4 linked regions of the Rhinolophus ferrumequinum genome follow. The protein of the gene in region 1 purifies or fractionates together with the protein of each later gene. This does not show direct contact. Links are inferred from orthologs where the notes say so. Each region holds a gene or a part of one and is shown in the gene's direction. Other genes may lie near its edges.

The links.
Region 2: the proteins of RBPJ (region 1) and FHL1 purify together in Homo sapiens (affinity purification with western blotting; 4 studies listed by BioGRID and IntAct, with this or other methods). This does not show direct contact. The link is inferred for Rhinolophus ferrumequinum from reciprocal best matches to the Homo sapiens genes RBPJ and FHL1.
Region 3: the proteins of RBPJ (region 1) and NOTCH2 purify together in Homo sapiens (affinity purification with mass spectrometry; 3 studies listed by BioGRID and IntAct, counting the BioPlex papers as one, with this or other methods). This does not show direct contact. The link is inferred for Rhinolophus ferrumequinum from reciprocal best matches to the Homo sapiens genes RBPJ and NOTCH2.
Region 4: the proteins of RBPJ (region 1) and RITA1 purify together in Homo sapiens (affinity purification with mass spectrometry; 4 studies listed by BioGRID and IntAct, with this or other methods). This does not show direct contact. The link is inferred for Rhinolophus ferrumequinum from reciprocal best matches to the Homo sapiens genes RBPJ and RITA1.

The regions. Positions count from the first base shown.
Region 1 is NC_046288.1:70,461,643-70,468,723, reverse strand, and holds the start of RBPJ (recombining binding protein suppressor of hairless), read left to right. Parts: upstream 1-4,078; 5' UTR 4,079-4,130; coding exon 4,131-4,189; intron 4,190-4,326; exon of another isoform or gene 4,327-4,402; coding exon of another isoform or gene 4,403-4,422; intron 4,423-7,081. UniProt on the Homo sapiens protein: Transcriptional regulator that plays a central role in Notch signaling, a signaling pathway involved in cell-cell communication that regulates a broad spectrum of cell-fate determinations.
Region 2 is NC_046284.1:20,056,180-20,063,736, reverse strand, and holds the start of FHL1 (four and a half LIM domains protein 1), read left to right. Parts: upstream 1-4,542; 5' UTR 4,543-4,673; coding exon 4,674-4,695; intron 4,696-7,557.
Region 3 is NC_046305.1:49,116,047-49,123,543, reverse strand, and holds the start of NOTCH2 (neurogenic locus notch homolog protein 2), read left to right. Parts: upstream 1-4,481; 5' UTR 4,482-5,051; coding exon 5,052-5,124; intron 5,125-7,497. UniProt on the Homo sapiens protein: Functions as a receptor for membrane-bound ligands Jagged-1 (JAG1), Jagged-2 (JAG2) and Delta-1 (DLL1) to regulate cell-fate determination.
Region 4 is NC_046308.1:7,990,412-7,998,234, forward strand, and holds the start of RITA1 (RBPJ-interacting and tubulin-associated protein 1), read left to right. Parts: upstream 1-4,823; 5' UTR 4,824-4,965; intron 4,966-4,997; exon of another isoform or gene 4,998-5,142; intron 5,143-5,306; 5' UTR 5,307-5,444; intron 5,445-5,872; 5' UTR 5,873-5,936; coding exon 5,937-6,238; intron 6,239-7,823. Other genes in the region: ATP-dependent RNA helicase DDX54, read right to left, coding at 83-271, 493-563, 2,006-2,135, 4,500-4,673. UniProt on the Homo sapiens protein: Tubulin-binding protein that acts as a negative regulator of Notch signaling pathway.

The DNA.
Region 1 (7,081 bases):
AGTCTCAGAGAGAAGCAGTCACTGTTTACAGTTTCTATTGTGTTCTTCCAGAACCATTTTAGATACATATAGGCAAATAAGTATATATTTATCTATCACCATTTTGCACCTTGTTTTTTGTGATCCTTCCACACAAGTACATAAAAAGTAACCTCAGCTTATTAACAAATGCATACTATCCAATTCTATGAATATATCATGACTTTTTAAAAATTAAGACATCTCTTGACATTTAGGTTGTTAACCAATATTGTCTCCCATCAACGATGCTGCAATATAAGTAATTTCACACATGTGAGTATATTTGTTAGGTAGATTTCTAGACATGGAATTGTAGAATTAACAGGTAGTCGTTAAATTTTATCTAAATTGGTTTTATAAAGCTTACATCCATTTTCACGCTCACTAGCAACACGCATGAATACCTGTTTTTTAATATCCTGTCAATAGTGTTTTCATTCCTGAGGCTCTAAAATGGAGAGTAATGGAAACCCTTCACATGAATGTAGGCTCATCTTCTGGTCTAACCCAGGAGTAAGAAATTTTTTGGCAGAAAGTCAACACAGGCAATTGCTCTATAGGCTCTTTTCTCCTCCGCAGGCCGGCTGGCTCTGGGGTATTCAAGTCTGGTCTAATCCCAATACTGTTTTGAACCCTAGAAGGCTTCGTGAGTGTTCAGAATCATTTCTGCTCTGCTCTAAAGTGGAAGACAGCTTATTCAGTCTACAAATGCTTACTGAGCATCTATCGTGCACCAGGCATTGTTCTAGTGGCTGAGCCTCAAACAATGAATACAAAGACAGAAGTCCCTGCCCTCATTAAGATTACATTACAATGGGAGGAGGCAGAGAGTAAACACAACACACTGGTAAGATATATACTGTGTTAGCTTATGATAAGCCCTGTAGGGAAAATAAAGGAGGGAACACAGAGTGTGAGGAGTCACTTTAGTGAAGGGTGGTCAGGGTAGGCCTCACTGAGGTGACATTTAAGCAAAGACCTGAAAGTAGTGAAGGAACGAGCCATATAGCATCTGAGGAAAGGGCAAAGGCAGGAGTTGTTATGTTCTAGGAACAGCAAGAAAGTCTGCTGGTTACAGCTAAGGGGAAGAGTAGAGATCAGGGAGGTCAGGGTGGCAGGCCAGATTGTGTAGGTCCTCATAGTGATATGGGAAAACCATTGGCGAGTTCTACAGGGTTACTGAATGCTCTGTTGGGAATAGACTGAGGGAGGGCAAGAGTGGAAGGGAGAACCAGTTAGACTTCCTGTAAAGCAGGTAAGAAATGAGATGGCTTGGACTGGGCTGGTCACCATGGAGGTGGGGAACTGTTCCAACTGTGGGTCCTATTTTGAAAGTGGAGCCAGCATATTTTGTTAGATGAGATGTTGGACGTGAGAGGAAAAGGTGGCAAGAATGGCTCTGCGGTTCTTGGCTTAATGGAGAGGAAGGATGGAGTTGTCATTTACTGGGATGGGGAAAGAATGCAGGTGGAGCGTGTTTTAGGGTGAAGAGGAGTTGTGATTTGCATTGTGCTTGCCCTGGCTTTCCATGGCTGGGGTTCTCCGATGGCCAGGGTTCCAAATTAGATTAATGGCCCGGACTAGACCATGACTGAAATGTCGTCTTGGGATGAAGGCTCCAAGGAATCTGTGCCCATGGGCATTGTCCTCCTGAGCTGTCGTGTTCCACATCCGACTGGCATTGAGCTATTATAGTAAGTGTCCTTATATCTTCTCTTTTGCTGTGTGAAATATTTAATCAAAGGGTAAGGTAAATGAACACTCACACATACAAACTAAAAACCTTGAAAACAATTCAAAAATTTGATTTCTCATCCACTATACAACCAGCAGAACAGGAACCCCAATCAAAGGACTCACTGTCCTCCAAAAATCAAAACGGAATTCAATTTTACATTTGTGGGTCTATAATGTCACCAAGACACGAGTTCTTAGACAACACTAGGCTAGGCTGGTACAAAAGTACACCAGGGCAATCTGGAATGTGCCTGATTGGAGAATGTAACCAGGAATTCACTGGACACACAAATAATCCAAAAAGAAGGTATGCATTTAAAAGTTGTCACTAAAGCACCTGATGAAACAATACTTACAATGGAATGAATATTTCAACAAACTGAAAAGTGAATGAAAGCAAAACCAGTATTTTAAGTCATATTAGTGGGAGAAAAAAAAAAAAAACAAGAACAGAAACTGTTATGTAGAGATCACTTTAAAAGGCTAGGAAGAGATTAGCGGGGAAGAAATTAGAAAAAAAAAAAGTGTCCTTAAATGGGAGGCAGAATCTGTAAAGGCAACAATGCGAGAGCGCAGGGAGCAGCTTTTTTTCTGTACCCAACTCGCGAGGCCAGCGGGTAGATGAGAAAGAATATAACCAATTGCTAGAAGAGAGTAGCTAAAATAATCTGAACTTGTTTCAAAGTGAGGGCCAGACTAGGTGACTCAGAAGCATGACTCAAACCCGACACTGGGGGCCGTCAGCTCCCGGAGGCCGGGGACGCGGCGTCTAACACGGTTTAGGAAAGTACCAGGTTCGTAGAGGGCGACAGGAAACCTCCCCGGGGGATCCGCCTGGGGCTCCTCCTACCCTAGAGTTTCACCTCTTAACCACCCGCACCACGAGTTTCTAATCTCCTGGCTTCCCCTTCTTCCTTTAGAGTTTCCCGACCCGACCCATTTTTCTTCCACAAAGCGTCACGCGGCATGTAGGTGCAACACATCGAGCACCCTCGCGGCCTCCCTCCTCCCCCCGCTCCCCGCCACGCGCCCACCCGCCTCGCCTCCGCGGCGAGCCGCTCCCTGCCCTTCTCATCCCGCCCGCGCCCGCCGCCCGCCGCCCGGGCACGCGCGGCACGAACAGCACCCGGAGCTGCACTAGACAAACACCTGTCCCGCCTGGGCTCCGCGAGATTTGGGGCGAAAGCATAGGCAACAGTGGGCGCATTCTCGCGAGGTTTACGAAATTTCCCACGGCCCGTGTTGTGTCTGAGTCGAGTAGTGGAAGGCGGTGGGAAGGAGGTGTAGCGTGAGACTAAGCTGCCCGCATTGGGCACATGCGCAGTGCCGCTCGCGCGTGCCGCGCCAGTCCTGCAGCGCGTTCAGCAGGTTTCGGGCAGTGGATTCCAGTTCTCCGGGTTTTGGGGCTCCCTGCGGGAGGCAGTGCTGGTTCTGGGAATCTCTAGGAATTGAAAGGGCAAGGCGGGGTAGAGGGTAGAAAGGGGTGCTGCTGGTAGGGAGGGCGGGGATTGGGGCTTTGCACCTTTTTGCTAAATGCCCAGTCGGGCCAAGCTCGCTCGGAGGCTTCCAGGCTTAGGTCGCCTGAAGTACATTTCGGGCAGCGAGCAGTATCCTCGACTGTGCCTGGCTCGCGGGAAGGCCTGTGCAGAGTCTGTTCCTTTATACACCTGGGTTCATGCAAGGCTGGGAGCTGTGATGAAGTCCTAGGGAGGCTCACAGCGCAGGCAGCTCTCTGTCCGAGCGGGACCTCTGGCTGGAGTGCGGGGCGGGGAAGTGGTGGTTCTCAATTCCAACGCATTTTTTACCGCCGGAGAAAACTACGCGGCGCTCTGGCGTGGTATGCGAGGTGGACATTAGGCATGTCTTTGCCAGAGGTCTTGGCCTGACCTCATTTCTCATGCAAGGAAAAGAAAACTAAGGCGACAGAGCTCAACGGCAAAAGTTTTCCCTTTACATAGTTCTGGAGGGTCAAACTACACTGTGCTCTTGTCCGCCTCTCCGCTAGCCAAGAGGGTCGAATGAATGATAGTTCCTCGTTTGGTCACTCGCCCCAACTCCAGGCATCAGTGTAGCTCCAGCACCTAACGCTGACATTAGCATAAAGGAGGCGTCCAATGAACGTTTGAATGAATGAAAAGGGCTGGGAACCAGAGTGAGCGGGAAGCCACTTGGAAAACACCCATTTGAGGAGGTGTTTCATCTAGGCCTGTGAAACGCGGCAGATTTTCCCAGGACCCCTCCTCCCTTCGCTTCGGCCCCGCCTCCTGACCCCTCCATTCCCCGTCCCCGTTGTAATCCCCTCCGGTTTTCCTCAGTCTCCACGTACGTCCTTCAAGGCACGTCTCAAAACCCGGATAACCGGAGCGCTCCCCATGGACCACACGGCGGGCTCGCCCGTGGAGGAGCCGCCTGCGCATGCTCCATCGCTTGGGTAGGTTTCCAGGGAAGGCAGCGAGCAGGATCCCCTACTTCGCGGGCGGCGCGAGGCGTCTGGCTCTTCGCGGCGGCTGCTAGGGGAAAAGGAGCGCGGGGGCTGGGTGGAATCACGGAGTGAGGAAAAAGGGAAGGGGCGGGGGAGAGGGACCAGGGCAGGCGTCGGGGGGAATCTCGCGAGGGTTGGAGTTTTGGCGAGAGTTTGTGGAAGATGGCGCCTGTTGTGACAGGGTAAGTCTGAGGGAATCGGAGCGCTGGGAACCGGGAAAGTTGCGGGCGTCTCCGAGCCCGCGACGGGAGGCGGGTTCGGGGGCCGCAGCGCGCTTGGCGTCCGGGGGGCGCGGGAGCTGCGTCGCGTGCGCCGAGCGCGGCGGCGTGTGGCCGTGCGCAGCCCGCTCTGCGCCGCCTTGGCTCTGGCTCCGGCGCGTGAGGGCGGGCGGCGGCGGCGGCGGCGGCGGCGAGGCCGGCGGGTGCGGGCGTAAGTGCGGCGGGGCGCGCGGGGCCCACGGGCGCCGTGCCCTCCGCTCGTCTTCCGCGCTGCCTCCCGCGGGCCCTGCCTCTCAGCCCCACGCAGCTTTGTTTCTCTGGATCGTCGTCGCCTCCTCGCCCGGCCGGTGCCCCCGGTCCCGGGCGCTTTGTCTTTCCCAGTTGCCCCCCGCGACTCTCTACCCCCGGCCCTTTGTTTCGCCGCCTTGGGCGCTTTGTCCGACCCATCGCGCCCCGCATCCCTTCTCCATGTCCTGCCTTCGGCTGTCCTTCCTCCCGTGCCCCTTTGTTGTGCCCCTCTCTATTCGGCAGTTAAGTGACCTGCCACAGCCCAGGCACCAGATTTCTCTCTTTTCCTTTTTCATCTATTATTTTTCTCGTGTATTACTCTCACCTTTCTGTGTTGTCTTTGATCATCCCCACAGGCTTTGTCTTTCCCACCCAGTGGCTTATTCGCTTGGCACCCCCGTTCCCCTCCCATCGATTGATTTATCCATTCCCCACAGTGTGTGTCGGCTGAACTGTCTCAGCCCCGGGGACTCCATCTGGTGCTTGTACGTGCGGGCAGACCCTCGGCTTGTTTTTGTGGGTCTGAAAGATGCGTGGGGATACTTACTTTCCTGCTCGGCGCTCCTTCTCTCCGCACCCTTTTCTCTCGGGATTACACACACCCCTCCTCCCCATTTCTCTCGGGATTACAGTGTCTCCAGTTTTCTTCGCCTCTCTCTGGGCCCGTGCTTGTTTTGCTTGGAAACAGTAACGCTGGAAAAAGATCGGGTCTCTTGGTGATTGCCCCTCCGGCCTCTGGTTTCTGGCGGCCTAGGCCAAGGGCAGCGGTCGTGGTGGTAGTTTTGCGTCTGGGTTACCTGAGGGTATCGTAGGACGGAAGGTTAGGAGAAGCGCAAGGTGTGTGTGTGTGTTTTCCTTTTCTTTTGGCGTGTGAGAATAGTTTCAGATATCCACATGGGGTATTCGTTTGGCATGTGAATAGCAGTGAAATGAATTTTGCTGTTAAAAACTTGTAAATGTTGCGGTGGAGAATTTCAGCATTTTCTAGACTCTAGGTGTGGAGTTTAGTTATTTTCACCAGTAACTCCTGCTTCGTAAGGAAGAAGGAAGGCATCCTGCTTGTGAATTTGATACAAATGTTTAACTTTTTCTTCATCATTGTAGTTTACAATTATTCGCTTTTGCTCTGTAGATTTATGACAACCCTCTGCCCCATCTTTGGAGTTGAAATGAGGAAAGCGCTTAAGCCTGCAGTTCTGGTTGATGAATACTGCTTCTAGAATCTTTGTGGAATGCATTAATGAAATGCAATGAAAAGACATTTAAGTAATAGTCTTAAGGTAAAGGAGCTTTAATGTTACAGGAGCTTTAAATCGTTCGGGGTGCTTATTGTTATGGTAGTGTTAAAAGCTTGGAGTTGTGGGGGTGGGTAGGGAGAAAGTGGTGTGGTGTATTTAAGTGGCCTCAATATTCTGGTCCTGGGAATACGGTATTAGATTTACCAGGATTGCTAGACTGAATGTGTATTTCAGGAGGTTCCCTTCCCCCCACTAATTTATCACGACTTTTAGAAGATAATGTTACCCTTAAAATCACCTGGATTATCATTTGTAAACTAAAGTTCCACATAAAATGCCACTAGTAGAGCATGTGCAAAATGTAGCGTGAGGAATGTTGGTATAGTGGAAAGCAGTTTTATTTATTTTGAAGGCTGTGATTGGAATTAGTATGAATTTTAATTGACGGAAACTCATGTTTCATGATTGATACGTGAGACTTTTGTCAAAATTTGCAGTCTGGGTTCCATGACTGGATTTTTACCAACAATCATTTCTCCTTTACTTGTTTTTAGTGCATAATCATTCTTTTGAAGGTAAAATCTTGAGCACACTGTTGTTTCTCCCTGTAAGCAAAGTGTAATAATAATGGAAGGTATTTTGCTCTGACTTATGCATATAAGAATGATCACACAAACATCATAAAAGCAACTTTTACAAACCAAGTTGTGTTTTTTTGTTTCTAAATTGTGTAAGATCTTTATTTGGTGACCAAATGAAACAGTATCTTTACTAAATTATACCAAACAATAGCATATTTAGAAGCATAGGGCGTGAGCTGTGGTTGGGAGGCTTTCTTTCTGATAATTGATGATTAAAGCTGTAAATTTATTGCTCATGCATATTGCAGGAGAGTGCAGGAAAAATATGAGGCTCACTATTAGTATTTTCAGATCTATTCTAATGTGCTTCTAGGTGTTAGATTTTAAGCAGTTACGTTTATTAAAATGTTACCTCTTATACTAACAGATTTCTATCAATGTCTTTTAAGTGGCTAAGAAAAAAGATGGTTTTGGGGGAAGCCACTCTTGCCAGCTCTAATTCATTAAGTCATTTTT
Region 2 (7,557 bases), on another chromosome or scaffold:
CTAAAGATTGACAGGAACATGAGATGGCTGAAGCTGTACTGTCCTTTTTCTGGCAAGAACTCATAGGACAAGAAATACTCGGGAGAGCTCAACATCGAATCCCATCATATCATAGTGCATGACTGGATGCCTTAAGATTGCAGTTGGAGTCACTCAGTAAAATTGTTGGCGGAGGGACTAGTAGCCTGAGAAAGTTATACTGAGAAAAAACTTGCAGTGTGTTAATTATTAGTAGTAGGCATGTGGAGAAAAGAAGAAGCTAAAAAAAAAACAAACAAAAAAAAACATCAGACCTCTGATAAATCCACAAAGGCTCCATTCCAGATTGTCATAAGCCTCTTGCCTCTGGCCATGACTAATGGCCAGTAAATGTCTGAATAACTTTTCAACTATTTGGAAATTTCTTCAGTAAAAGAAAAAATATAGTAAAGGGAAAAGGGCGACCACAAGCCAAGCTGTGAACCAGGAACTCCCGAGGTGTAGGCCAACTAGGTCACTGAATTTGCCGTGTTTGACTCTTAGGTTGCACCACTTTGAACTTTGGAAGTTTGATCCTCCCAGCGGTGTTTCTGAGGTAGAGTCTGGGATTAGATTGCAGGGTGAGAATTCCCATAAACGTGATTCCATCGTAACTGCACTGTTAGCCCTAGTTCTTTCTCGACTTGACAACTGGATCCCATTAAAGGGGGTTAGTTATTGACATCTCAGAAGAACCTCACTGTAAAGCTCCAAGTAAAGCGCCACTCTTCCCCACACCAGTGGTGCCTCCCAAATTCCCCATTATTTCCTGATCACCCAGAATCACCACATCGGAAGGATTGCCAGCTCCTTCTCCTCCAACACATCTAACCAGTCCTTTTGAGCCCTGCCCCGTGGTGCGCCTTCCATCTCCTTTCCCTTTCATGCCTGTTGCCATTGTTGCTCTCATTCAGTTTCCCCTTATGTCTCATCTGGACAACAGCAATACCCTTCTAGACTTTCCCTGCTTCCAGACTTCGTTCCCTAAGACTGACTCTTCTTGTCACTGCTCATATTTCCCTGATCTCACCCTTCTCTTGCACCAATTGCAAAAAGACCCTCCGAGCTCTGGCTTTCCGTTTCTTTCTAGCTTGATGTGCCACTGCAGATGTATCCTGTGCTCCTGCCCGCACTGGGCTGCATCCTGCTTCGGGAGCAGGCCCTGTGTTCTCGTATTTTTGTTCATACTGTGCCTTTTGTTGGAATTCCCTCTCCTCTTCTCCTTGTGCTAAGGCCTTACCCATTTTTCAGGGACCAGGTCAAATAGTATCACATTCATCAAGTCTTCTCTGATCTCTCCAAACCTAATACAATCGCTGCCTGTGATAAATCTATACCACTTTATATCTCTTGTAATACTCACCATGCTATGTTTTGCGTGACAGTCATTTGTATATTGATCTTGATACACTTGGAAGGAAGGACTGTATCTTACTCTTTGTGAGCAGCAAAATATTCTACACCACATAGTAGGACATCTCTTTAATAAGTGTTCGTCCTCCAAAATAAATGAATAGATGGGGTGGTATCATCTACAAGTGGGGCCCGTGGGTAGGTTAAAATGTAACTGCTGAGTACGTGGAAGACAAGAATCTGAGTAGGTGGAAGACAAGTAAATGGCTCCCAGAGGACCACATGCAAGAGGGAGCTTAGGACTTGTGATGCCTAGCTCGCTGAAAAATCATCCTGATGTACACTGGAGTGTGAAAGACTAAAAGGTCTGAAATGTGGCCTTCAGACACTAAAGAGATTTGTTAATCAAACACCAGCCAGCTCCACCAACAGTATATAAAGGCGCTTTGTAAACAGTACAGGATTATTAAGGATATTATTAACATCATACTGTTAATATGTAATGAAGTTGGCTCAGACGCTAATGAAACCACTGATTGTTTGGGTGTGTGCTAAATAACCGTCAAGGTTTCTGAACCACTGATCCAAGGCAGGATAAAATTACCAGCGATTCTTACTGAGAAATTGTGTTTCACCTAACAAAGAGCCCGTTCTGTTTGGGTTTTGTGAAAATTGTGGTTTTGTCACTTGACATGGGCATGGGGACAAATGTCAGAGCAGGCAGTGGTCATGCTTCATGAAGTTTATAGGAAGGCAGAGTTAACCTGGTTGAAGTAAATTGCAGATGGAATAAATGCTGTTGTAGGGCCAAGCTCCCAGCTCACGCTGGCTTGTAGCCGACTAATTAATTAATGGTCAGGAGTAATTCTCTTGTTCTTGCGTTTCAGGCAAAATAGATTTATGTTTATTTGCTAACTTCATAAGGCTATCAGTCTGTCCATATTCCGTTGTTGCTTTTCAAAATGATCAGATGGCTAATGGAACTTGGTAAAAGAATGGGATCAAATATATGGTGATGGAAGGTGAACTGACTCTGGATGGTGAACACACAATGGGATTTATAGAGGATGTAATGCAGAATTGTACACCTGAAATCTAGGTAACTTTATTAACCGTTGTCACCCCAATAAACTTTAATTTAAAAAACAAAACACCTCCTGATACATGGCTTGAAACTAGAATTGACTTCCTTGAGGAAAGCACTTGGCAATCTAAGTTTATTGTTCACAGCACTACAAGAGGCGTTTTTAAAAAATGCTTTGGCTCTACCTAGAAATACACCTCACTAAAATCTAAAATTTGGGGTTCATAAAGGTTGATCATCAAATAAATTAGCATTTCCTTGTGGTGAAAGTTTAAGTTTATTTTAGGGGTGTAGTATTGTTCAGACTGGCCAATCTCCCTGCCATAATATAATCAGGCTGGATAAGAAAGGCTAGAGAGGCGTGCAGGAGTGCAGTGTCACTTCCCTTTTTTCCCAGGCTTATTTTTTTGGACGTTATCATGTCATAAACCTGTTAACATCCTGGCTTCTATTGTTGTGTCATTTTTCCAGCAAACTAGGAGTTACAATTTCATCTGTCTTTTAGAATAGCTTTTCTAAACATTTGAAAAGCGTAAAAGTTGCGAAACTCATTCATTCATTTATCCATGAAGCATGTATTGCTTACCTGCTATCTGTTGGGAATAGCAAAACAAGTAAAGCATGTTCCCGGCCCTCAGCCTGGTAAAAGAGATGTGTGAATAGGGCCAAAACCAGTGACATGCACTAGACAAGGCAGTGTCTATAAGGTACTGAGCCCAGCGCCTGTCCCGGAGTGAAAGTCGGATGCCTTCCTTGAAGTTCAATGACCAAAGTCACTTTTAGGGTTCCAGGTGGGACTGTGTTTTGGTTTTATATGAGGTTTGATTAAGCCTTTTTGCTTCTTTTAATTCATTTTTTTCCAACAAATAGTTACTGTGGGGATCAAATTGGGGCAGGGGCTAGGGAGTGTGGGGCATGGGGAGCATGGTTGCAATTTTAAATAGGGTGGTCAAAGAAGATATCACTGAAAAAGTGACTTGGAGTAAAGCCTTGAAGGAAGTAGAGGTGCAATCAAGAGGCTCGGTGCTGAGGGAATCAGTGTTGGGGCCCTGAGGTGGGGTGTGTCTGAAGGGTGCAAGGGACAGTGCAAATGCCAGTGAGGCTGGAGATGAAGGGAGCGAGGGTAATTGGGGCAGGGATGAGGCTAGAGAATGAACAGGCAGGGGGTTTAGAGGCCATCTTGAGGACCTTGGCTTTTCCTAGAGCTTCTTCCTGATGAGCAGTCTCCAGGCATCGGGCAGCCTGTTGAGCTGCTACAGCATGATACGTGACCATCTTCATTTTCGTCCATATTTTTACTTTTTTTTTTTTTTTTTTTTACTGGGGAATATGGGGGAACAGTGTGTTTTTCCAGGACCCATCAGCTCCATGTCAAGTTGTTGTTTTCAATCTAGTTGTGGAGGGCGCAGCTCACTGGCCCATGGGGGAATCGAACCGGCGACCCTGGTGTTATGAGCACTGCGCTGTAACCACAGTGCCAACCAGCCGCCCCATATTTTTACTTTTATTGCCCCTGACGGTGAGAAGAGATTTCGTTTGTGGGACAAAGTCTCTTCCTTGTCTACATAGCGGTTATAGGCATGTATGTCTGTGTCCTGTCCTGCTCTGTCCAGCACTAAGGAGATATGTGGCTAGAATTGCTCTTTTCAGTAATTCTGCTGATCTGTGGTACATACCAAGGAGGACATACATAATGCCCTTGATCTCCATATTCATAGTGTCTAATCCCTTTTGATTATACTGGTAACATAAGGCTTTCTCTTACAGTTACTTTTATCATTAATGGCACAAAAATGAATTCTTCATAGGGCCAAATGCAAGCTCTTTAGGCATATAAAGTGAGTTAACAAGGGTGGCTCAGCGTTAAGCTATGCTAGAGCTGAGTCCAAATTTTATTCCGGTACAGGGATAACTTTCTATGTGGCCTCTCTGGCTCTGGAGCTAATTTGGATGCTGAGTAGCACCACAGGTATTTATATGTAGTGTTTGGTATTTTTACTGGGTCCTATTCTTCTCCCTTGGATCACCTAAAATGGTTAAGAATTTTCTAGTGGGATTAAGGTTGTGATCTCTGGGGAGGGGTGGGCCATCTGCTCTCGGTTATTTTTGTGTTAGCTGCTTCCCCTTAAATGTATGTTCACAAATGAGCCACAGCCTTCTCAGGTGGGGTCGAGGGAGGACTGGTCTAGGTGCTGCTCCTGAACTTGGTCTCTGAGCCATGGCTTCCCATAGACACTCAGGTAAAAGCTTCGTATTCTTTATCTTCTATTGAGCACAAGTTTGTTAGGGCACTGAATCCATCATTTGCCTAAAAGATACTTTTTGATGAAATGATTTTAGTCTTGTCTAAATAGGTAATAAGACAGCTCATCTCTGTTCTGCCCCTTTAATGCTGTTTCAAAGATAAAAGGTTATTCTTATTCAAGAAAAATTAGCAGTTCGAGTGGCTTATTTTTAAAAAGTATGTAAGCCTTTTACTGTATTGTACATTTTTTAGGACAGCTTATGAAACTGTAAGAGGTTGTGTGAGGAAAGAGGTTTTCTTTGGTTAGAAACTTCTGGTTTTCTTTGGTTATTTATAAGATAACAAATATTTTCTTGACAGTGCTTTAAATCGAACTTAAGGTGTTTAGAAAAGGTCCATCAAATATGGAGCTGGAAGAAGGAATATTTATAACTAAGACAGTCCGTAATGACTTACTATATATCTCCCCTTTCTCTGAATAACCTTTTCAGTCTTCCTGAAAAAACAACTGTGATCCTTTTGATATGACACTTGGGTTATTAATTGTTCTTATCAGGAAAAGGGGCAAATTTTCGGAACCTCTGGACTGTCATTACCATAAGAGCCTTCCTCTTGTTTTGTAAACTGACATTAAGCAAGCCCTTTGGCTGTGGACAAGACACTGCGGAATAGGGGTCAGAGGACTGAAGGTCAGGCAGTCTCCCCGGAAAGCCCGGTTCTCTCAAGTCAGTATGCTGCCAGTCTCTCCTCCGAAGCCAGGAATGCTGCTGTTGCTCTTTGCCCTCTGCCTAAGTAACGGTCCCCTTTCTTAGAAGCCGGGCACTTGGTCCTGTTGCCTACCTTTTAGATTAAGAGACAAAATAATTATTAGTGGCAGTCTTTTGGAAAAATTATTTTTGAAACTTAACAATTGCCTGCCGATACTTAAACAATGGGAATACTTTCGGAAATGTTCTCCTTGCGTGTTTTAAACAAATATGCTGCAATGTAATTCGCTGCCTCAATGCAATGGTCTTCCTTGTTCCCAAGTGTTCAAGCACTGTCTCTGTTTCCCAGGAGCCACTTAACCAACATGGTACCACATGCCCGAGATTGTGGTAATCGGCCAACATACACATTCTCTGGGTATAGGTAAACTATTCAGCTATACTAGTTGTTCCAATGGACCTTGAACGCATGTTAACTGGTAAAGGAACTCCCCATTTTACTTACTAAGTGACAGAATAGGAAAATGATATACTTAAAAGATAATTACAGCACACCCAACCTTGGGTTTTAAATTGTACCAAATCCTGACATTATTCTTGCTTATATTAATATAAATCTGGAGGCTACAACTGTGACTAAATTAGACAAATTAATTGACACCTTTTAGATGAGTTTTTAAATTGGGAACTATTGTTTTGTATTGCATTAGGTTCATAGATCCATGGAAGCAGATGAAAGACAAAGAAAATCCTCACAGAATTTTCTTTCCTCACAGAAAGAAAATCCACATTGCCCCCAAATTGCCTTTGTATGGACAGAATTGGATCAGAATCCAATTTCAGTGACCATCCATGTACTGAGAGGACATTTCAAGTACAAGAAATTGTACTTTTGTTACTGAACACTTTGCAGTCTGCAAAATTGTGTATACGCAAATCCTTTACCCTTCATATGTTTTTTTCCCCTTCAAGTTGAGGTCCGGTGTGGGGGTGCGGTGGGAGGGAAGATCACTTGCCATGTTATTCAGCCATTGATTCCCTTCACCTGCCATTGCCCAGTGGGTTTACACACGCCCGACAGTCTTTTTTTAGGGTGCCATGGAAAATGAAACGGTGGGGTGAGAGGGCGTAATCAAACTGGATTGGCTTCTTAAAATAACTGAAAAATAGTAGTCAGATGATTTGGTGGAGGATGAAACTGAACATTTTGTACTTTTTTTAAATTTTAGTTTCAGGCCACCAAACGACCACCTACTATGGTACTTCATCACAATTAGAGAAACTGAAAACACAGGTTTTATTGCTGCCGGGTTGGAAGCGCTGTTTTCCTATATGGAAGATGGAACATGCTGCACATAATATTAAGGAAAGCTTTTACTATGCACAAAACAGCACTAGAATAGAATCTGGCCCAGTGGAAGTTCAGTGACACATAAGTTTTTCTTTAATAATCTCTATCCAACCCTCCTGATACCAGGTATAATGTAAACTGTGTTACCTGTCTATCAATGATCCACAAGAGATTTATATGGTTTTTTTCCCTAAAGGCCGCATACAAGTGATATTGCTAATAACATTGAATCATTCTGTACATGTTCTATTTTTAAGGGAAAAAAACACTTTCTGATTTTCTAGGAAATTCAATGAAAGACTACTTTTCAGCCATGACTCATGAACTCTGTCTCATGGCAACTATTTAGGTATTTATTCCCAAATGTCTGACGACACCTCCAGGTGCGCGAGCATAACTGTTACACAAGTGTCCTATTCATCGGCTAAGGCTCCATTCCATTTGTTGAATGTTCCATTTGTTGTATATTGCAGGAAAGCAATATACCCTTTCTTTAGAAGCCAATATTTATACACGGAGTGACTAACAGACTGGTATGTTGGACTTAGCAATGAACAGATCAGAAATAACCTGAATTTTTTTTTCCATTTGGGTTGCTGTTCATTGTTTACAATGTACGTTATATATACCATTCAGGGAAAGTACATAGTTAGAAAAATGCTACCTAGTCATAATACTCACTTTTTCCTGAGGCACGAGGCGAAAAATGAATGTTAGCAAGAAATACATGAGAAAATACACATAGAAATACAAGCAAGATTATCAAATACAAATTGAATCTTCTCTAATGAGAGGTTGA
Region 3 (7,497 bases), on another chromosome or scaffold:
AAATTGTCTTGGACGAGCGTCACTCTGTTGCAGAAAGAAACCGTGGACTGAGACTGAATCAGAAGTCAGACGTAGGGGGGTTTGTCTCAGCTCTGTCACTAACTACTTATTCAACCTCAGGCAAGACACCTAAACTCTCAGTTTCCTCATCTGGGAAATGGGGATAATAATGACTGGCTTGGCTATTTCCCACGATCGCTTTGAGAATCAAATGAGATAATAACTTAAAAGTGTTTTTTAGAAAGCCTAAAGCACTGCACAAATGGAAGGCATTGTTTTGCAAAGAAACCTTTCTTTTCATTCCTGTGTCCCTGGACACTTCATCACACACCGCTGGGTTCCTGGGTTATGTGCTGAGACGTGTGGAGTAGCTCAACCTAGGCTTGATGTGGACCCCAGAATCTGTTCTGCAACATCTATAGTGTTTACCTGATGCATCCTGGAATGCTCCAGAACCCCTGGACATTCTGTCACGCTCTCCAATTCACACGGCTATACACGCCCCTCATTCCACGTTTATTTAAAACTCACATTGTTGTGCACGTCTGTGCACGAACGACCGTGCTAGGAACTGAGGCAAAATAGACAAATAACACAGTCTCTCTGCCCTTGAGGGGTTTTACAGCCTCCTGGGTCTGAGAGAACAGACATGAGAACAAAGTAAGTGCCAATTCTGCATTTGTCTTGGGGAGACAACTTTACATGTGAATTTTAATTAATAAAGACATACATGCATATTTTCAGTTTCAACTACAACGAAAACTAGGGGTGGCCCTTATTCATGTTTTCTATTATTAATAGTCTGTAGATTTTAATGTGAGCTTGGAGATTGAGAAAAAAAAATTTTTTTCCAGATCAGTGAAGCTATGGAACTTGAAGAGCAATCACTGTGATTAGTTATAGGATCACCTGGTAGTTTTCCTGCCAATTTCTCCTATAAAGTAGAACTTGCTTTGACTCAAAGCAGTGTCTATGGGGAAAACCATTCCGCACTCCAGTTGAGCCGTTAAAACTGCAGAGCACGTTTGGGCCTGAAATCTCCAGGCACATCCTGACATTTCATGGCCTCAGCTGCTACTCCTGTTTTGAGACAGCACCACAAGACCCCCTGATTTCTGCTAGGGATCGGGGAACCAGTCACCTAAACGCACATAGTGGAATTTAGGCTTAGCTTGCGGGAGAGCTCAGTAGTAGGAAGCCTATTTCAACGCGGTTCCATCCTTTAAATCAGTCAGGCTCCTCCAGCTCTCGCAAAAGCAGTCAACAGCCACTGCTGCTTCTGGAGAACGCAGTTTCCCTCTTCCAGCTCCATCGATTTCTTATCTTGCCTGCTTATTTAATCTACCAAACCTCCTTTTCCTTCTCCTGTGTTTTCTATATCCGGGAGTAGCTCACCAAGCCTCAGGATATGGAAGTCATTGCTGATGGCCCATCCACCTTTCCTCTCTCATCTAAGTGGGTACTAACTTTAGGAGCCAAAGCCCGGCTTTTCTGCATTCCCACGGCCCCTGCCTAAGTCCTTGCCTTCCCACTTTAGGGAACAGGCTCTGGTCTCTATTGTTCACCAGCCTCCGTACTTGTTGCAAAGAAAGCTCTCTTTTAATTCCTGCTTCGGCAAACACTTCATCACACATCCCTGGGTTATGTGCTGAGATGCGTGGTGTAGCTCAACCTAAGCTTGATATGGACCCCAGAATCTGCCTGGAAGAGTTTAGGCCACTGAACAGGAGAAGTCTCCTCTTCCTCTTTACCTGATTAATCGTTTGGTCCTCTACTTCTTAGACCAGCTGTTGAGATCTTCCCGGAAGCCTTCCCTGATTGCCCCTGGGCGGAGACAGGTCACAGTCCCTCAGCTGTCACACTGGGTCTTAATTGTTGATTACTCATCTTTCTGGCTTTATCCCTGGACTGCTCATACCAGAACTGGCCCACAGTAAATACTCATCCAAATGCCAGTTGACTTACTGGTTCTCAACTCTCAGTCTTTGTCAATTCCAGTTTCTTCCCTTGATTTTCAGCTCCCCCTTTTTTTGTTTTCTTTTTTACCAATTTATATCCATAGCTTCCTTCAAAACATATTTTTAAAAACATCTCCTCCATCATACCCTTCTCCTACTTCCCTTCATAACATTTTACTCTTTACTCTCCTTGTCCTTATGGGGAATGTATGCAATAAGTCTAACGTTATAACAAATCCCACACAAGTTATTACACATGTAACATAATGATCGCTTTCTTTCAAAGAGTCACCTTGAGAAATTCCGCACCTATTGTCATAGTGATGTCACAGCCAGTCGTTTCCAGACCTGCTCTTTGGGGATGATGACATTTACATCCTTCTGAATATATCTCAATAGGGACAAATTTAATCTTTGTAGGTGGTTTTTAAAATTTGTATACAGCCAAGTCACTACGAACTATATTTAGTGAGGAAAGAGAACGATCAAGCTGGTAACTATCAGTCAGCAGCTAAACCGTCCTGTTATTATCTTTCTCTGAACATATTTGCACAAGGGAAATTCCAAAACAATTGGACTGTGTTGTTTTTGCAAAGAGTTTCTAGCATCCCAAGGTGACTAGTTTCACTCATAACACTTGCTTATCTATTATAAAGTGCTTATGAAAATCCGGTTGGGAACTTCAGAGGCCGCTGATCATACTGCTTTGTGCTTGTTCAGTGCCATTTTACCTTCTAGTTCAACATCTATTATGGGCTGGGCTCTGGGAACGAATGAGGCCGTGGGCCTTACCCGTCGGGACCTCCTGATCTAGAGGAAAAGATAGAAATACAGACAGTCCTGTGTGAAAAATAGAGATGAGTGTCAGATAAAGAAGCAGGACAGTGGAGGGACTGTCTGTCCGAGGTAGGAATTGGTTACAAGGTCGGCAAAGCCTTCTCAGGGCTGAAGGATAAATGATTAGAAGTTCAAGAGGAGGAGGGGAGGGGACTACAAGTCATTCCGCGTCAAGGGAACAGAAGGTACAGAGACTGAAGGAAGGAGATATGTTTGGGGGGGAATCTCAACTCATGCAATACTGTTATTGTGTAAAGTTCACAATGGGGCAGAGGGGACAAGCGAGGGGGCCCAGGGAAGGGAAGGCCTTGTATTGACCATTTTTAGAAGTTTGGACTTTGTCCTCTAGGAGCCCGGGAGAGGCTCTGTGGGTAGGATTTCCCTTCCCGACAGGATCGTAAACCTCCACATCCAATTAGTCACATTGGGTTGCCCCACCCGCGTCTTTTCCTTTTTCTTTTTCTTCGAGATTGTCCCCAGTCCATCCCTCCCTTTCTATTTTGACATCTACCTCAGTAGTGCAGGCCTTCATCAGCCATGCCCGCCTGGACTGTTTCACAAACTCCTCACTAGCCCTCGGACTCCCGTTCGTTCACCTTTTGCGCCTGACAATTTTGCGCAGGATTATCAGAGCAACCTTCCTTTCCATCAAGTCTCACTCCTGTGCGAAGACCTTCAATGGTTTTTCTATGACCTGAGAGATAACTATCCCCCCTTCCTACCCACCCCTCCCTCTTTTTCAGCTTGTCGTTCAGGGTCCTGGTCCCGACCCCCTTTCCCTCCTTGACTCCTGTCACTGCGAATAGTGCCAGAACTCATCTACTTCTTCCCTTATCTGTACCCTTTTATGGGGGCTCTCCCAGAGGAGAATGTTACGGCCACACCAACTTTTTCTTGGATTTATTTCAACTCTTTTCTTACAAAAACCAAGCCCACTTGTACGCATGCCTGATTCCATCCCTCATTCTCCTGCGCTGGAAGTAACCGCTATGCTGGTTATATTCTTTTACTATATACTGTGTGGTGTGCATTCATAAATAATCTATGGCATTGTTTTGAAATATAAATAGATATACATGGTATACTTTATATCTCCTTGTGCAATTGGTTTTTTCACTACCATTTTATTTTTGAAATGTATTTCTATTGGCGTATATGAACATGCTCTTTCAATTGCTGTGTATTTTATTTTCTAAATATACGATACATTATCCATCCTTTCCTCTATGGGTGGGCATTGAGGCTGTTCCCCATGTTTGGTATTGCCAACAATGTTACAATGAATATCCGTAGCTGCTCTCCTCGTCCTTACAAATTTTCCTAACCTTTCAAAATCCTGCTCTCATCCCAGTTCTTCCATGAAAGCCTACCCACTGCAGCAACGTCTAAATCCTCAAAAGTAGCTTGAGCATCATGAGACTTTAGTACCATTCCTACGGTGCCCAGCAAAGTAAGGCGCTTAAGAAACATTTGCTAAACGAGTGAATGAATGCGTGAAGAATGAATGAATGAATGAATGAATGAATGAATGAGGCAGCACAACCCAGCTGATGGCTCTGTTCATTTTAAATGGGCTTTGGCGCCCTGGCCCCCATTTCCTTCTGTGACAGCACAGGCCGTCCGCCGCATTCCTCCGGCCACCCCGGGGTGTGTGGATGTGTGTGTGTGTGTGACACGGGCGATCCCTGGCTCCCTGGATGAGGGCCGGCTCTCCGGGCAAGTTCACGATCTCAGTGCCCCTAGCGTCTGAAGTTCAGCGTCCTAACACCCACCCCTGTTGGCAGAGGCCGGGCCCAGCGAGGCGCTCCAGCGCTGAAGGCGTTAAGGCGCGTCGGGACTCGACGCGGGCCGGGCCGGCGGCCGAGGCTGAGGACTCGTAGTAGATCCCTCCGCGCGCGGCTCGGCCGGCGCTTCTTCCTGCGGGAAACCCCTGGGCGCCGCAGGCGGCCGCCGGCCTGGGCGGCAGGGGGCGGGGTTTGCGGTGGGAGGAGGCGGCCGAGGCGGAAGGACACACGAGACTGCACACTCGAGAAAGTTAGAGCCGAACTTCGGGCGGCGGCTGAGGCGGCGTCCCGGGCACGGCTGACTCGGGGTGCGGGGAGTGGAGGCGTCTAGCCTGAGCTTCGGGGCCAGCGCGAGGCCGGGCGCCACCGGGGCGGGAGGAGGAGCGCAGAAAGTGGGGGCTCCTCTGTTGGGACCCCCTCTCCATGTGGATCTGCCCAGGCGGCGGCGGCGGCGGAGGAGGCGACCGAGAAGATGCCCGCCCTGCACCCCGCGCGGCTGTGGGCGCTGCTGGCGCTCTGGCTGTGCCGCGCGGCCCCTGCGCGTGGTGAGTATCGGGCCCGGGGGTGCTGTCCCCGCGCCCTGGTCGCGCACCGCCGCCCCCGCCCGGCCATCTGGGGCGCCCGGTCCCCCCCTTTGGTCCCCTCCGTGCGAGAAGGCCGGGCTCTGCCGCCGGCGCGGATTGAGGCCACTGGGTTCCAGAAAGTTGGGGCATCGTGGGGGCCCCCTGAGCGCGCCCCTGCCCCCGCGCTCCCCGCCGCCGCCTGTTCCCTGCGGCCGGTGGCCCCACACACGCCTCCTTGGCCGGAGGGAGGCCGGGCAGCGAGGCTCAGAAACTCCCCTTCGTGGGCGCTGGAGTTCTAGGAGTTGGGCAGTCTTGCCCTTTTGGTTCCGCGTTTCCTGGGGTTGAAGGGGAACCGAGGGCGGGCTGCCTGCGACAAACCCCCGCTGGCCGCCGACCGCAAAGGGGCTGAGCGGAGGAATGCCAGGTTCTGGCGTGGGGGGGTCGGCGAGGGCAGGGCCTCCCAGCCCAACGGCTTGCACCTTCACGGCCACCAGTAGCTGTGCCAAAGGGGAGGCACGCAGTCCGGGTGGGTGGGGTCGGTTTGGATGGGGCCAGGGTTTCGCGGGGCGCCCGAGTCTGACACTCCGAATCCACGGGCGGGACGAATCCGATGTGTTGCACGGGGCCTTTGAAAGGTGGAGGCAGGAACAGTAGGAGAACTGGTGGGGCTGCACGCTGGGCCACAGGATTTAAAAATCTCAACTGCTGTTATTCTTTCCGAGGCGCGCAGCTCAGGCGCTATTGCGGTCTGTGTCCAGCCCCAGGAATGTGGTGTGACGATCACCAACTCCTCTAACCTGGCAGCCGGATTTGCTGCTCTTTTGGCAGGTTGGGGGTGGGGCATGGGTGGGTGAGGAACAGTGGAGAGGGTCATTCAAAGTGCTGCCTTCGCAGGCCTCTTTCGGGTTGGATATGTGCGACAATTTCTGAACGCGGTTGGACCAAGGAAAGGAAATGCAGTCATTCCTTACCCATCCCACCCACAATTTCAGATTCCAAGTTTCCTCCGACCGGGTAGTGGAAGGCGCTTGGGTTTTGGAGCTTCATAAATAATCCTGGGTTCAAATCCAGCTCCGCTCTATGAACGCCCCCAATAAAATGGGAATGAAATTACCCAGCTAATAGGATTCCTCAAGAGAATGGTGTATTAAACCCATGGCAGTCAAAAGGTGTTCCGAAAGGGCAGGGCTGGGTTTTGGTTTTCTCTGAATCTCTGCTTCCAGTGGGATGATAGCTTGTGTCTGTTTGTGAAGCCGCAAGCGGCCCCTGCTTTTCCTAGCCTAATATGAAGGAGTATTTTACCTTGACCAAAAAACTGGTACATGAGCTATGTCTCTTTACAAAGAAAAGGTTAAGAAGATGATGAGCTTCAGAAAAATTTGCTCTTTGTTCACTTGCAACAGGCGGGGGACCTGTCCATCATCGATGTTGGAAAGAGAACAAGGTTATTTATCACCGTGCTGGGCTGTTCAGCACCAACGACTGTGTTTCCCTGAAAATAAAACCTAGCCGGTTAATCAGCTCTAATGCGTCTTTTGGAGCAACAATTAATATAAGACCCGGTCTTATTTTACTATAAGACCCGGTCTTATCTAACATAATATAAGACTGGGTCTTATATTAATTTTTGCTCCAAAAGACACATTAGAGCTGATTGTCCGGCTAGGTCTTATTTTCCAGGAAACACAGTAGGTCCTTGGGAAGTTCATATTCCATACAACTCTAGGTCCCTAAGAATTTAAGAAGTGGGCCAGGGGCTGATGTGATGATGATCGAAACTGTTGTTTCAGAAGCATTTAACAAAGCACGTAAATGGTGTTTTTGCCTTTCCTTTTTCTTTGAGTGGAAAGCTTTAGTATAAGTCTAGATTTAGGATAGAGAGGAGTATAAACAACGGGTTAGTTTGAGAGTTACAATCCTTGGTCTACCACTAACTTGTTTTAGTAAAGAACTCAACCTTCATGATTTGTAGGCTCCTCACCTATGGAATAGAAATACAGAAGCAACCTATTTCAGACAGTTGGAGGGAATAAGAAATATGATTGCAGAGATTTGCAAAATTAAGTGTGAAATGATAAGACGGATGTCAGCCTTCTCTCATTCTAGAACCTCAGTATATAGAAAGACATCCTTTTTTATACTTCTGCACTGATGAGGTATTGCTATGACTAACTTTTAGGTGGACAAATTGAGTGTTAGTCAATTAGTTCAAAGGACAAGATTTAAATATTTTGATTTTTAGGCAGGTGTTCTTCTGGTGCTAAACTGCAATAGAAGAGATTAGAAACTTGTTTCTTAGTACAAATCTTAAACCTTTTTCAGAGTCTGGCAGTGAAGCCTTCTTCAGTCTTCTTA
Region 4 (7,823 bases), on another chromosome or scaffold:
TGCGGAGAAGACTCAGCCCAGTCTAGGCGCCCCACTGGTCCCAGCCCAGCCCAGCAGCCCCTTTCCCCCAGCCCCGACCTACCTCCTTGGTGAACTTCATGGTCTGCAGGGCCAGCTCTCGGGTGGGTGAGAGAATGAGCGCTCGGGCCCCGGTCTGGGCGCTGCGGGTCTTGAGTCGCTCAAACATGGGGATGAGGAAGCATGCTGTCTTGCCACTGCCCGTCCGGGCCATAGCCACCACGTCCTTGCCATCCAGGATCACCGGGATGGTCTGGAGAGGAATGAGTGGGTGAGCACCCAAGCACGTGACCCAGGGCTTCAAGTCCCCAAGGAGTGGGCGAAGTAGGGGATCTCAGTGAATGGGAAGTGGCCTGTCACCCAGCTTCAGAATAAAAGGGGCGAGAGAGGTCACAGCCAGGACAAGGGGTGGCTCTCCAGGGCCAAGTGGCTTATCCCCTCCTCCCAAACCCATCCGCCGTCCAGGCTGCGTACCTTCCTCTGGATGGGTGTCGGCACCTTGTAGCCCTTCTTCATGATGCCTTTGAATACTGGGTAGCTCAAGCCTGGGAAAGACACGGGAATGGCCAGGGGGCCGGGGGAGCCCCCACGGCACCACACTCCAGAAAGCTACACAGGACAAATGACTTACATCATCAAACAAACGGCAAGAACAAAGAAAAGCCATAGAGCAAAACTGATAAGACTGAGATTTAAGAAGACAAATCTACCTAGCGTGGGATATGCACCTTACGTGAAATCTGTCTGAACACACGCTTAGTGCAGGGAGACAACTGGGCATGTAACTGCTGATGGAGTAGTGGACAGTACTGTGTGCTTGTGTCAGGCGTGTACAGTCCTGCCTCTCTTGGAAGCGGGAAGTAGGTAGGGGTACAAGGAGTGGATTCCAAGACTCGCTTCAGACTCCTCCGGGACGATGGGGACAAGTAAGTGGGGCGTGGCCAAAGCAAGGCCAAGTTGAACACCACTGAAGTTGGTGATGGGTACGTGGAGACCCGCAGGATTCCATTTTTCATACGTCTGTAATTTATAATTAAAAGAAGAGAGTATTCCATGACAAGGGCCGGTGATAGCTGCGAGCATGGCCACTGACAAATGAGCCACATGGTGCTATCAGGGCGAGGAGGTGGCTCTGGAGACGGGATGCGACTTGGGCTTGTGAGGGTGGGAGGCCCAGAGACAGGAAAGCGCCGTGATTTTAGCTGCTTTCTGGGCAATTACCTTGGTAATTCAGAAAGGCGAAAAATAACCACATGTAGATGTTTTTATTTGCTTTTTTCTTTGATTTTTGATGAATGTTAGCACATTTTTAATATAGTAATTGGCTGTCTAGATTCCTTTTGTGAGCTGACTATTCATGTTCTTCACTCAGCTCTCTCTGGGGTGCCTGTCCTTTTCTTATTGATTTGTTAAAGCTCTTAGCATATAAAGGATACTTACTCTCTGTGTGTCCCATAGGTTGCAATATATTCCTGATAGCACTTTACTTTAACTTAGTTTACAGTGTTTTTTGGCATACATGTGTCTAACTGAAAAAAGAGTCCAATTAAACAGTGCTTGGGTCACACTTAGAAAGGCCTTCTTTTCCTTTCTAAGATGATAAAAATGTTCATCTTGATATTTAAATCTTTGCTCCAGATGCTGACTTGTAAGCAGCAAGAAAGAGAGTTCAGCTTTATTGCCATCTAGCCGGGTGTCCCAATCCCACCCAATTATTCCATCTTTCCCTCTCTGCTCTGAAATGCCATCGTCACGCAGTAAATCCCGAATGTCTCTGCCTGTACCTGCACCAGCGTCACCATCAGTCCTGCTCTAACCGTTTTCTCATTGTGTCAGGCCTGTTGTCCCCACAAGAAGGCCCTGACTGGCTTGGACACCATGTCTGCTGCCTTGGTCAACCCATCACCTACCACAGTGTTGGGCCCAGAGCAGAGCACGGAGGGCCCCACTGCTACTCCCCAAATCCCCAGATGGCTGGCTCACCCACCCATGGACTGGAAGCCTCCCGATTTCTTCTTCTTCTTGTTCTGGGCTCGCACCATTTCTCGCATGTCAGGCTCCACGTCCGAGGTGCATTCTGAGGTTGGGAAGGTGGGCAGTGGTCTGCCAGGTCCCAGCTGCGGGGGAGGAACAGAGAGGCAGCAAAACTCCAGGCACCATGAGACCACTGGTGGCAGGGAGGGGGGCTGTCCTGTTCCCAGTCTGCCCCCCATTCTAGCCTATGACTCGCCTGCCAGGTTACATGACTTCTCTGCTAGCAGGCTCTCTTTTGACTGGGCCAGACAGGGCAAAGGGGCAGAGAGTGGGATCTGCAGACAGACTGCCTGCGTTTCAATCCCAACTCTGTCACTTACCAGCTGTGAGACCTCATACAAGGGACTTAATCCCCCTGAGTCTGTGTTTCCACATCTGGGAAACAAGGATGACAAAAGTATATGCCTCACAGGGTGCTGTGAAGACTAAACAGGTATGCGGGACGCTTAGAATGGCGCCCAGCACATGGTGATATCAGAATCATCATTCTAGCCTGTCAATCAAAGCCTTCAAAATTAAAAACCCTACAGAGCCCATCAAAACATCTACTATGTGTGGAGGTACTAGATTTTTCCAAGCTGCCTTGCCCCCTCTCCCCAATCTTCTTTCTGATTCATTACCTCTCCCTAACTCCAGTCTCTGTCATGCCTGCCTCTTCTCTGCCCATCCAGAACCCACTTGTCCTAACACAGCTGAGTCCAACCCAGACGCCTCCTCTGGGGAGCCTTCTCAGACTACAGGACTATCCCCTTCCTCTCAGAAATAACACGTATGGAGCACTAATTCATAATAATGGCTAGAACTTACACGGCACTTATTCTAAGCCAGCTGCTGCTGTGGATTAACCCACTTAATCCTCACTAGTACCCTGGGAAACGAGAACTATTATTTTATCCATTTTACAGAGAAGGCAACTGAGGCACAGAGCAGTGAAGTGACCGACCCAAAGTCACCTGCTAGACAGCAAGTGGGGGATCAGAGTCTGTGCTCTTTGCATTGTGACCCTCTATGGTCCACTACACCATCTAGGTCAGAGCTGCAGCCTGTCTATGAGCTAAGGATGGTTTTTACATTTTAAAAGATTGTAAAAAATCAAACAAAGGAGACAGTGACCTTATACAGGCCTGCAAAACCTAAAACATTTACCATCTGGTTCTTTACAGTCATGTGCTCTAGACACATGACAACAAAGTGTCTGAACACACCCGTGTCCCACCAATATTTACGGAATGAGCAGAAAATACGAATACCGTCATTTAATCCCTTTCACAGTCTGTGACGTACACATACTCATCTGCGTTCTACACAAGTGGAAACTTCTGCCTTCTACAGATGTGGCTCAGAGAGGTTAAGCAACTTTTCTAATGTCCCACAGCCAGTAAAAAAGGATTGGGCCAGATTTGAACACAGGGCTGTGCCAGGACAAAGCCCTTGATCTGAACCACGCACATATGTGGGCTCCTCTTTGGTACTTAGTACTCTGCCCTCCTCCTGTGCTGCTCATTACCTTTATCAGTTACTCCAAATTTAGAGCACCTACTATGTGCCAGGCACTGGCTTGATGGGGAACAGTGGGACAAGGTCTGGTCCCTGCCTTGGAGTGTAGACCCCTCTTCATATAAACACCTGCTTGTTCACCTACCTACCCAGAGCTGCTCTGTGCCAGGCACTGGCTGGGCACAGGGCGGAGGGGCATAAGGAGCTAGTTCTGCCTGCTTGGTGTTCACACACCTGCCCTCCTTCCCCATTTGCCTACAGTTGGCACTCAGTAGCGGAAATAGCACAGGCCCTGGAACCAGACAGTCCCGGGTTTGAATCCTGCCTCTCCTACTTACAAGCTATGAGGTCTTGGTCAAGTTCCTTTAACCCTCTAGGCCTCAGCTTCTTCCTCTGGAAAATGGGACGACAATACTTAGCTTACAATGTTGGTGTGAGGAATAAATGATAAGGCTCCTTAAAACTCTTAGCACAGAGCCTGGCACACAGTAAACGGTAAACAAACCCAAGTTTAATTTATTACTATTAGTTTCCCAGAGGTTTGGGGGCGTCACTGTCCCAAACTGCGGCGTCCGGCCTCCCCTAAATTCAACCTCTCAAGAATCCCCTAAACTCCAAACTCAGAGCTTCAAAATCCGCACTTTTCATTGGACGAAACGGAACTAGGACCCGCCCCTGTGTAGGAGATAGCCAATGAGGGGCGCGAACAAAAGCCGGCCAAGAAGGCCCCAAGGCCCTAGCCTCTGGAACGCGCCGGCTCCAGCCGCCAGGACCCGGGGCTTGACAGGCCCGAGACACGTGCTCAGGCCGGCAAACCTGCCGGACTCCTGGCCAGGCGACCCCTCCCCACCCTCCGCAGTGCCCACTCCCCAGCTGGGGAAACGGAGGCCGCGGGGCGCTGCGCGGAGCCGGGGCTCGGGCTCCAACGTGTGTCCCAGCCCCGCGCTAACCTTCTGGGCGCGGGTGTCATCTTCCGCCTGGATCTCAAACTCGCCGTCTTCCGAGTCGCTGCTGCGGGCCTGGGGGGCCGCGCCCCGGCGTTTCCGGAGCCCCTTTTTCTTCCTCCACTGGGCCATGGCAGCTCGGGACCGCGGTCCAGCCGCCGGGCTAGTACCCGCCGCCATGCGGGCCCCGGCGCCAGGAAACGGGAAGGGGCGGAGTCTGCGGGGACGTACCACCGGCGCGGCCCTGGCCGCGCTCCCGCCCCTTCTGCCGCCGCGGGAGCTCGGCGCGCCCTCTCACGATCCCCTGACTGGCCCGCGAAGCCCCTCTCGGAGGCTTTGGGCATCTCCGGGAGCGTTCAGAAGGGGGACCCCCTCCCGGGAGCCAATGGTTCCGGCCGTGTCGCCCCGCCTCTGGCTGGTTGCTGTTTGAGACGCGCGCGGAGCACACGTCGCTAGGGCCTGGCTACCCGGGGTGAGTCAGTCCGCGCGGTTCCGGGGGCGGGGGGTTCTGGGCTCCGGGATTCCGACTCCAGATAAACGGGGGTCATGGATGCACCGCGGGTGCTCAGGCACCCCCACAGAGGAGTCCAGAGCTGGTGGGGAGGGGCACTGAGGGTTACAGCCGGCATCCGTGAGACAAGATGCTCTGGTAGGAAATAAGAATTCAGGGACGTCGGACGTCAACCCGGGCATTGACTTGGGGATTGGGGCGTGTGGGGTAGTGGGGGGTGGGGGAGGGATCCCCCTATAGTAGAATGGTTAAGTGCACAAGCTCTGGACTCCTGTCAGGTTCCAATTCCACTTCTATTTTAGTTTTGTAGGTGTGACTTACACATGTGACTTCACCTTTTGAAGCCTCAGTTTTGTCATCTGTAGAATGGACATAAAGTTTCTTCCCAAGACTATTGAGAGGGTTAAATGAGACGATGTTTCTAAAGCTCTTTGCACGAGGTAGGTATGAGATCAAAACGGATTATTATTACTTCCCCATAGATATATACAGGATGTAGGGACCTGTCCTGTCTCGCCCCATTGTTTGTTTTCTGGTTGGTGCCAAAATGGGCACAGGTCCCATCTTTCCTTTATCCCCGTAAGCGTTCTATAAATATTGAGCACACACTGTATGCTAGGAATACATAATTATTAAACACTTGCTAGTAAGACCCATCCACCCCCATCATTCTGACAACTAAAAACAAGTCAAACAAATTTCTGAAATGTCCCCTGGGGTTGGCAGTTCCCCTTTGAGGAGGACTGCTTGAGGGAGAACCTGACCCTTTTGCTGTTGAGGGAGAACCTTGGGGACCTAAGAGACTGCCATCCCTGATCTGCTGGCACTGCCGATGACACAGGGGTGGCACTCTGACCCCCTTTCACAGGGAGCCCTGGAGGCAGGGCCTGGCAGGCAGAGCAGGCCCACTGTCACCTGGGACTACGGACGGCATGAAGACCCCTGTGGAGCTGACCATTACTGGGATGCAGAGCCTTCACCGCCAGCACCGCTGCCGGGGTGGCTATCAAGTCAAGGCCAAGCCATCGTATGTGGATGAGACTTTGTTTGGCAGCCCTGTGGGCACCCGGCCCACACTACCAGACTTTGACCCACCCTGGGTGGAGAAGGCCAACAGAACCAAAGGAGTGGGCACAGAGTCTTCACAGGCCTCGGGGGCCAACAGAAGCTTTGAGACCACCTCCTCCAGGGGCAGTACCGCGACCCTCACACCAAGGAAGAAGAACAAATACAGGTAACAGGATGGGGAAATGCACTCCTGCACTCAGTGTAGCCAGCTAGGCTCCTCTTAGAACCCTGCTATTCACATGCTGTGTGACCTTGGACAAGCACCTTGACGTCTCTGAGCCGCAGTTTCCTGAGGTGAAAAATGGGATCTCATGGGATTGTTGAGAGGATTAAATGAGTGAGGTGTGTGTACAGTGCTTGGCACGGTAACCAGGCAATTAGGAAATTTTCGATAAATGGTAGTAATAAAGGTTATGACGGTGGAATACACATCCCGAAACGTCACAGACCAGGCATCTGAGGCCCAGAGAGGTCAGGATTTGCCCAAGATGACAGAGCAGTTTGCATAAGATTATTAGTGTGACTGATCATGAAATGACATAGCTGTGGTAGTTCCGCATTTCAGCAAGTCATTTTGAAAACAGTTCTTGTTGCATTTTCATGAACAAGTTGGAAAATCAGGAGCTGATGCTAATGGTTATAATTAGGTTATAATTAGATTATTTGGGTTATTTCAGGTTAATACAGCCTGGAGAAGTATCTAGTGGTGAGCCACAGAGCTCTATCTTGTTACCTGTGGTTTGGACAGAGACACAGGAGACTGGCATATTAATCAATTCTGGCTTCCATGACAAAGTACCATAGACTGGGAGGCTTAAACAGTAGACGTTTATTTCTCACAGTTCTAGTGACTTGAAGTCCAAGATCAAGGGGCCAGCTGTTGGTCTCTCCTGAAGCCTCTCCTCGGCTTGCTGATGGTCACTGTTTCGCTGTCCTCACATGGCCTTTCTCTGAGCATGTGCACGCCTGGTATCTCTTCTTATAGAAACATCATTCCTACTGGATTAGGGCGCCGCCCTTATGATCTCATTTAACTTTAATTATCTCTTTCAAATTTAACATGAATTTTAGGAGGACACAATTCAGTCCATAACAACTAACCAGTCATATTTAGGATCCATTCTGAGTCAGAAGGGACATACCGTAGTAGTCAAGAGAAGGGAATGGTGTCTATTTAAGGAGATACAATTCAATGAGATAAAAGCAAGATTCCTTATTATGTCAGGTTGGGGGCGATGCACCTGACAAGTTCTGTGAACCACAAGGCAGGCTCAGGTTGGCATTAGCAGCGCTGATACCTACAACATGGCTGAAAACACTGATGTCAGGATAGGCTGCATTAACAGAAGTATGGTGTCCTTATCAAGGGAGGTTACGGTCAACCCCATGCTCTCCTAAAGAATGGAGTTTTGTGCTGGATGCTGAGAAGTAGAGGGTGTCAAGTGAGAAGGTGCATAAGAGGTAGAGGTGTTACTGAGCAAAAACTGCAGCACCAGACAGACACAGGCTTCAACCAGACGTGTTTTGAATAGTTGAATCAAGTGACAAAAGGCTGACTTTTCAAAGATTTGAAGTTTGGGAATGGAAGCACTTTTCAGTCCTGGCCAAAAAAACCAGGGACCTGACTCACAGGTATGCCATGAATATTTGTGGAATTAATTTAAAAAATAATTGCTGAATAAATCTAATTAAAGGTGAGAGGCCTAAAGGTCTGATTTACTGATGGAGAGCTTGGCTCCTTGAGCCAGGCT